Linked DNA regions of Drosophila melanogaster. The protein of the gene in region 1 interacts with the protein of each later gene in a pairwise test. Each region holds a gene or a part of one and is shown on either strand. Other genes may lie near its edges.

What was found.
Region 2: the proteins of CG42690 (region 1) and Cnep1r1 interact in a two-hybrid assay, tested with the Drosophila melanogaster proteins (one large-scale study listed by BioGRID).

Annotation. Positions count from the first base shown.
Region 1 is NT_033778.4:19,943,484-19,947,647, forward strand, and holds CG42690 (uncharacterized protein), read right to left. Parts: upstream 2,395-4,164; 5' UTR 2,198-2,394; coding exon 2,098-2,197; intron 2,051-2,097; coding exon 1,956-2,050; intron 1,904-1,955; coding exon 1,747-1,903; intron 1,687-1,746; coding exon 1,625-1,686; 3' UTR 1,457-1,624; coding exon of another isoform or gene 1,357-1,456; intron 1,304-1,356; coding exon of another isoform or gene 1,209-1,303; intron 1,149-1,208; coding exon of another isoform or gene 998-1,148; intron 936-997; coding exon of another isoform or gene 865-935; 3' UTR 780-864; downstream 1-779. Other genes in the region: CG43195 (uncharacterized protein), read right to left, coding at 865-935, 998-1,148, 1,209-1,303, 1,357-1,456; CG42691 (uncharacterized protein), read right to left, coding at 2,610-2,680, 2,739-2,895, 2,947-3,041, 3,089-3,188; CG30447 (uncharacterized protein), read left to right, coding at 3,850-4,164.
Region 2 is NC_004354.4:22,943,288-22,947,036, reverse strand, and holds Cnep1r1 (CTD nuclear envelope phosphatase 1 regulatory subunit 1), read right to left. Parts: upstream 1,717-3,749; 5' UTR 1,553-1,716; coding exon 1,181-1,552; 3' UTR 1,029-1,180; intron 967-1,028; 3' UTR 698-966; downstream 1-697.

The DNA.
Region 1 (4,164 bases):
GCATTTCAATTTCAATTTTTAGGTCGAACCTTGCCACCGTGTTGCTGCTGCGCTTTTCTTACCGTTGCTGCAACGATGTTGTTGCTGCAATGTTGCTGCTGTGCTGTTGCTGCTGCGGTGCTGCTGGCAGTCAGCGGCTAAAATCGTGCCGTTAATCGCTTTAAATATGCGACAGGTTGTTGCACAGCTCGGTGGCGTCTCCGCAGTGCTCGTGTTTTCTGCTGGGTTTGCAGGCTGTGAGCGAAGGATTTCATAATCCACGGCATTTGTCTCACTGATTATGCAATCCGAGTAGCCAACAGTTGGGCTGGTACCCTGGTATATGCAGCACACAATTCAGGAAGTCATTTGCCAAACGTATTAAAGCCTTTGTGCAAACAAATGTTTATTTAAATTAGTCGCCCGACAAATAAACACAAAAGACCCAAAAATCGGCCAGAAAGTGCCGAGATACGAAAGCACAGAAATAAACGGTAGCGTTTTGTATTTGATTTTCACTTTCTATTTGCGGTCGGTTTACCATTTGCATTTGATTTGTTGTCACCCATTGTTATTGCCTCTGTTATTTTATGCAAATTCGCATCCCCTGGTCACTGGCTGCTATTTGTTTAATAAAAAAAACTGAAGTCATGCAACAGAGTCGGAATATCGCACAGTCTGTATGTTGATTTTTAGTAAAAGCGGACAGACAAACGTGGCTTAACGTTTATTGATCATTGTTAAAAATATATAACCAAAATTCCCCCTTTTTGGAAATTACATAATATAAAGAAGTTTTTATAAATGGGCTCAGTAATATTTCTTAATAATTTCAGCACTGCCATTATTTATGATATTTCCATCATCTACGCCCAAGTGATAATTTCAAATCATTTGCTGCTCCTTCAGTTCACGCATGTATGCATAAGGATAGGCCGCCCAAACGAAGACCAGCACTGAAAAAAAATTGGTCGTATTATTCATATACTAGCGAAAATTTTAGTTCCAATTGACTAACTTAAAAATATTACATTCAAAATGGCGACCACAATATCTAGATATATACGAAGCCTATTCAGGTATATCATCAATCCGATCTTTATAATTATCAAAGCACCTCCGCAAATCAGTGACACTATTACCCAGATAAGCAGAAGAATAGGTATTTCCTTGAGAAAACATTTGTATCTTAAATTAAACATAGATTGTCTTTACTAGCGAATACTTACCCTAAGTGCACCAATAATCAGAAAAATTGCAGCAATAAAAATGGGAATCCATGCGATCAATGCTGCCACTAACCAATTGTTCATACCATGCAAGGCTAAATATAATGCAGATATTATTTTGGTAGCTTTATAGTAGAATAATTCTTACCTAAATGAAAGCACTCGTAAGATGTCTCTATAGTTCCGACAAAAATCGCAACCAAGGCAATTATCACGCAACAAGGCTTTTGGTTCGCATTCAAGCACATTGTAGTTTTATTTTTCCAATTTTAAAGTATTTCCCATATATCCACAGGAAACAACATTTGATTTAAGCAACTAAAAATATACAAAAAAAAAAAAATGGTTTCAAACTGATAATTTTGTTTGAAATTTAAGTCCAAGACACTGGATATTTTTTATCCGTTTTATCCGTATTAATCTCCTTCCAGCTCACGCGCATACGTATATGGGAAGTATAGAAAACAGCAGAGCAATACTGAAAAATTAAATTTTTTATTATTAAAATGAAAATTATAATACAACTACGTTAACATACATACGAAAACTATAATGACTATACCACCGAGAATATGAAAGGCTGTATCAGGATCCTTATGAAAAAAGCTATGAAACATTTCTATTTGAATAACTATCAGAGAAATGCCGCTTATTAAAGCGACTACTATCCAAATCACCAAAAGATAGCGAATTTCCTAAAACAGGACATGGGTAATATTGGATATTTATTACTTCGCGCTTACTTGCTTTTATTGCTCCTACAATTAGAGGTACCGCTGCTAAAATAATGACAGCCCAGGCTACCAGGTACGCCTCCTCCCAATGGTTTATACCAGTCGTGCCTAAAAACATTGTTATAATAGTATATTTTTTATAAACCTTACTTTACCTAGCCGGTAAAGCATGAATCCTAAACATAAAGTTGATATCAGTATCGCCAATGCTCCGGTAAAGATACATAATAGCTGGCGGTTGGCATTGCAGCACATCTCAATCGGTTCTGTAGATAATAATTCCAAAATTTATAAATCCGAAAATTACAGGATGCGATGGAATGTTATTATTTTTCACCATTATGAATTTTGCAAGGGAAAGAGAAATATAAATTTTATGTAAAAAGCATTTATACAGAATATCTACAGAATTATTTGACATTTAAGTCCAAATTACTTTGGTTTTCATTGATATTTAACACAGGTTTTGATATACAAGTCAACTAACATGTTAGTTAACCCAAAAATAGAGTTATGAAATATTCAGAAACTTATGTCATTTGTTACTAAGAATTTTACAAAAATGAAAATGGTAGTAATTAAAAGTGGCTCAAGAGTTTTGCTAAAATGAAAATCGTAGATTTCAAATGTGGTTTCATAAAAGACACGTTGATATTGAAAATTTAATTTATTCGTATTCCTCTTCTTCAAGTTCACGTTTGTATGCATAAGGGTAGTATGCGGAACAAAATACCAACACTGGAAAAAAATTGTCGTAAAAATATTGCTAAAAAGAAAATTTGAATTGTTAAATTACGTATTAGAAGTATTATAAAGCCGCCTGCAAGAATATAGTATGCGTCACTTGGATGAATGTTTTTGGCTGGAGTGAATAACACAATTTTTATAAAAATTTGAGCAATTCCGACAATCAGTACGATTATTATCCAAATCAGCAGAAGAGTAGTTATTTTCTACAATTAGAAAAATTTACATTTCTTTTCGTTTCTTTAATAATTACTTGCCTTTATTGCGCCTACAATCAGAACAACTGCGGCCATGATTATGAGCAACCAGGCAATCACAGATGCCAGTATCCAACGATTCAAACCATATGTGGCTACGAAATTAACTAATATATAAATGCATAATATGGCACTATTTTACCTAGCAGATGAGTTCGGTATCCTAGATCTAAGGACGCTACAATAAGGGCCAGCACTCCTATAACGACGCAACTGTATTGGCGACTCACATTGCAGCACATCTCAATTTTTGAATGAGTGATAAGATAAGAGGATTTTAATCACAATGATAATGTTTCATTATGCAATTTACGTCTTTTACCGAAATATAAATAGTACATAATCAAAATATTCATGATTTTCCGTTTCTTTATTATTTGAAGTGACATTTAATGCCAAGACGCTTTGTTTCTATGAATAATTTTACACGATAAATATGGGTAACACTGCAGGTGGTTGCCATACTGACTTTTATACCCGTTACTCGTAGAGTAAGCCACGCCCACACTTTTGAAAAATGTTTTGGTATTTTTTTACGTTTTTATTTGTCTTGTAAATTTTTATCGATTTGCAGAAAAAAATTTTTGCCACACACACTCTAACGCCCTAAACCGCCTAAATGTGCCGCGACCACATTTTTAAAAATTGTTGCATATTTTTTAAAAATTGTATTAGTGTTGTAAATTTCTATCCATTTGCCAAAAAAAATCTTCTATAGCATTCTCTCTTGTTTTGTGGTGATTTCCATAGTAGGCTTCGAAATCTAAGACAAGTCTTAGTGATTGTATTATTGCAAGCTGAAACATATCAAACTCCGGAAGGTATATTTTTTTGGAAAACTTTGAATCTTTTTCATATAGACTAATCATTTTCGTATTATTTTCCTTCTGAAAGTAAGCAGGCATGATGTCGAAAGATTTTGATTTTTCTCAGAAGGGTATGAGCGACGCCACTAGTAGCGACTTACGTAACGAGTCAGCACATCCAACATTCTCTGGGACTAAGCAACTTTTCACGTTAAGCTCGCCGTTTTACCAGGGACCCACGTCCTTTGGCGGTAGTGCGGCTATTACTCGCGTTTGGAACAATTTTAAGTGCAGCAGAATACTTGCTTCTGAAATCAACAAAAAGATGGAACCGCCAACTTATTCGGAGTCCTTAGAGTCGAAGATCATGAAACGCCGTCGTCTGTACGCTCTTTTAAATAGGAAAGAAATT
Region 2 (3,749 bases), on another chromosome or scaffold:
CAACAAAAAGAAATAGAAGAAACTCCATTTCCCATACTATATCCATCAGTCCCAGCCCAAGTATAAGTATAGGGTTCTCTTTACGGGAAGGGGAGTGGCGTATTTGGGTGGTCCAAACCGGCCACTTCAATTATTTCAAAAAAAACAGTAATGCTTTAGTGATTTTCCATAATGTATCCCATTTGCGCAGCATCATGCATTCCCCTCTGGTGATAAATTTTTTGGGGAGTCCTATATACTCCAGCCAAGCTAATTACGCAGTTTCTGAAAAATGTTAACGTAAACACATTGGGTTGGCCATTTCAAGGTCCAGACCTCAACATAATAGAAAACCTCTGGTCATATATGTATAAAGAAAAGGCGTGCAAACATATCTAGGAGTCGCGAAGAAACGATTTTGGAAATTCAAGCCTTATGGAAGTATATTTCAATAGATTATAACCACAGTTTGGTACACTCTGTACCAAAACGTCTCCAAAAGTTGATAGACGCTAAGAGAGGGTATATTTTTTATTAATTTGTTATAATTTTTTTGTTGATTTTTTTCTTTTAAATTTATGACATTTAAATAATCCATATGATTATTTTACTACATATATACATATACATATACATATAAATACATATATATGTATATGTATATTCTACATATATACGAAAATTATTAAACAATTTCCCATTAAGTAAACAATGAGTTATAAACAAATATATTGAATGTATTTATTGTCTAAATACTTATGCCCACTTTTGTTGTGTCGACAGCAGCCAACTCCTTTTGATTTCATAACAGCAAAATCGAATTCTGTAGCCTTTTATAATTTAAGGCCGCAGCACTAACAGCCCTCTATCTCGGTCATTTCTATGCAATGCATGTTTTTAAGTCCACTCTTCGCTTCTTGATCGCTAAGCATTATTGTCAGCGAACTTTTTTGTATTGTTGTCGTCGCTAGTCTAAGCGCTAATTAACTAGAAATAAAATTTATAACGTTTCAAAAGTAAATAAAAAACAATTAGTTTCAAGAAGTCACCTCGCGAAATTTGTCATGGTGTGCAATACCTAGTCCATTTCCATTTTTGAGGATCATTTATTTGACTAGCTGGATCATTTATTGACTGGATCATTTATTCCACTGGAACGCCGTCAATAAAAATGTGTTTTTGGGGATATACATATATTCAGCTACTCTGTCTGCCGTGGAAGTAGGATGAGACGTCCCTGGTTATCAATGTTAAGGCGGAACGGAGACAGCATTTCTTGGGTGTCACGCAGGATACTGGGGTCCTGCTTAGTGGCGTGATTGAATCCATAAAAGATTAGCAGGCATATGGTTGCCAGGGAGAAGGCAAAGGCGCTTTGACTGGACAGGATTTGGAAAACCACCGACTCGCTTTCCTTGGCATCCCGAACCCAATGACAGGCACTGATCGCCGAGCAGGCGAAGATGGCGCCCAGAACAAAGCGCCAGCGGAGTGAACTCCGTTTCTCAGTGTTTACCACCTCAGCCAGCCGACGCTCGAAAGCCAGCAGGTCTTCCTGATCTGTGTCCTCCATTCTGTTGCTAAAGGAGTTGACTCTAATGCGGTCCCCTGGGCGCTGCAATGCTGATTGCCCCGTTAATTACTATTTTACGAACAGCAGCAAGGCCGCATCATTTGCAGAATTTTTACTGACACGATAATAATTTTTTTCGGTAAAGACGAAATCTGTTTGAAAAAAAAGACAAAGTAATAATGATATGATTTTCAAGAAACGAGTGCTGTGATGGTTTCTATGCTTTCACTTTTACTTCCTTGTAAAAAGTACATACATTGAGATTGTAAAATATCCACTATTTTGCCTATAATGTAATGCATTATCCCACCACATTTAAAATAAATGTTTATATTGTTATATTTCGTTTAGATCACCATAGTAGTAAACAAAGAAACTAGAATGTATGCGTAGAAATGAAACGTTCGCTGTACAGCTTTCCGCTCTCTCGCTCTTGAACAAAAATTCGAGAGACCCTGGAGCCACCTCTAGAGCCACGCCAAAAAAAAAATCGTATGGCGTTACGCATTTTGTTATTGTAGTGTCTTTGTTGTAACTCTCTCCGTCCGTATGAACGTCGAAATTTTGGGAACTATAAAAGCTACAAAGTTAAGATTAATCCTGCAGATTCTAGTTATGCCTAAGATTGTTGATTTGATTGAGTGTTTCACATTGAAAAATTTTATTTTTATAGAGCCATCACGCGAGTGCATATAATTTGGCTTGGAATGTTTTTCAAAAACATAGAAATACATTGCATTGCACGACGGAATTCTAACCATTTTATACCCGTTACTCGTAAAGAAAAAGGATATACTAGATTCGTTGAAAGTATGTAACAGGCAAAAGGAAGCGTTTCTGACTATCAATTTCTCAATTTCTATATAGTAATAATGTTGACATTTGCCTAGTTTCTGAAACCTGGTTAAAAACATCTTACAACACGTTAAAATACGCAACTATAGCTGTTATTGAAACGATCGAACAGTCAAAAGAGGGGGAGGGGTTGCAATATACATGTATATAAACAAGTATTCGCCATTTCCTGCTACCTATTGGCGTAAATATTTTTAATATAGTTGGCACTCAGACATTTATTTAGTCTTGTTACTTTCCATGAGGTCAAGTAAATCCTCAGAAAAATCAACTCTTTTTGTCCGACATTCGCCAATTAAGCAGCGCAAATGTGCCTTATATTGTAGGAGGTGACCTAAATTGCCGACACCAGTCTTGGGGATGTCGCCGGGCAAACTCGTGGGGTAACCTGCTAAAATCCAAAGTTGACAGCAACAACTTTTAAATACTGTATCCCCTTGACCACACCTATATGCCTGCAGGAAAGCACGGTCAACCATGTACTCTAAACTTTTTCCTAACAAATCGCCCACAATATCTTATAACTCCGCGAGTAATAAACACTCTCAGTTCAGATTATTTACCTGTTCTCCTAGAAGTTACTAATGACTAGCCACTTACTAATATCTTCGTTTGCTTTGACATAAAGAAAGCCAATTCCTTTGCAAATTTCAGCCTTTTAAGCTAGTTAATTTTTAAAAATATACCTGATTAGCAGTGTCCTGTTCCTTTAAACGTCGACGAAATGTCCACTCACTGATTGCCTTACGTTCACTTTTCGGAAGGCTGGAGGTCAGATTCCACTGCGTTGCAACGGCCTGTTCTTGTTTAGGTTTAAGTCATTATGTTTCTTAAACTTTTTAATTTGATAATACACAGCTTGTCGCGACACATTAAACTCATTTGCAATGTTTTTTACTTTAATTCCAACGTTAAACTGTGCAACCATTGATCTAATAAATAAACTTAACTTAGCCTTTTTACCCATGGCTATCAATTAATTTTTTGTTTTTTATTAAAGTTCAATATCCAAAAAAGTTCAATTTAAACAATTGTTGATTAACACGTGCTCAAAAGCAGAACACCATTTACTAAATGAGTTTGTCAAAATATAATGCCAAACAAAAAATTATCATGTTTCATTAAGTTGTTTATAACTTTTTAAGTTTAATTAAAAACACAAAAAAATACAAAATAATCAATACTACCATATCAAACCATTTAAAAGTTTCACTGACAAATGTGCAGCGTTTATTTTGTCCAAATACTTATGCGGACTAGTGTATATTGGAGGAAAGTTAAATATCAATATCCTAACTTCAAAGCGAACAGTCGTGTTTTTTTTTTTTTGTGCTTCGATTTT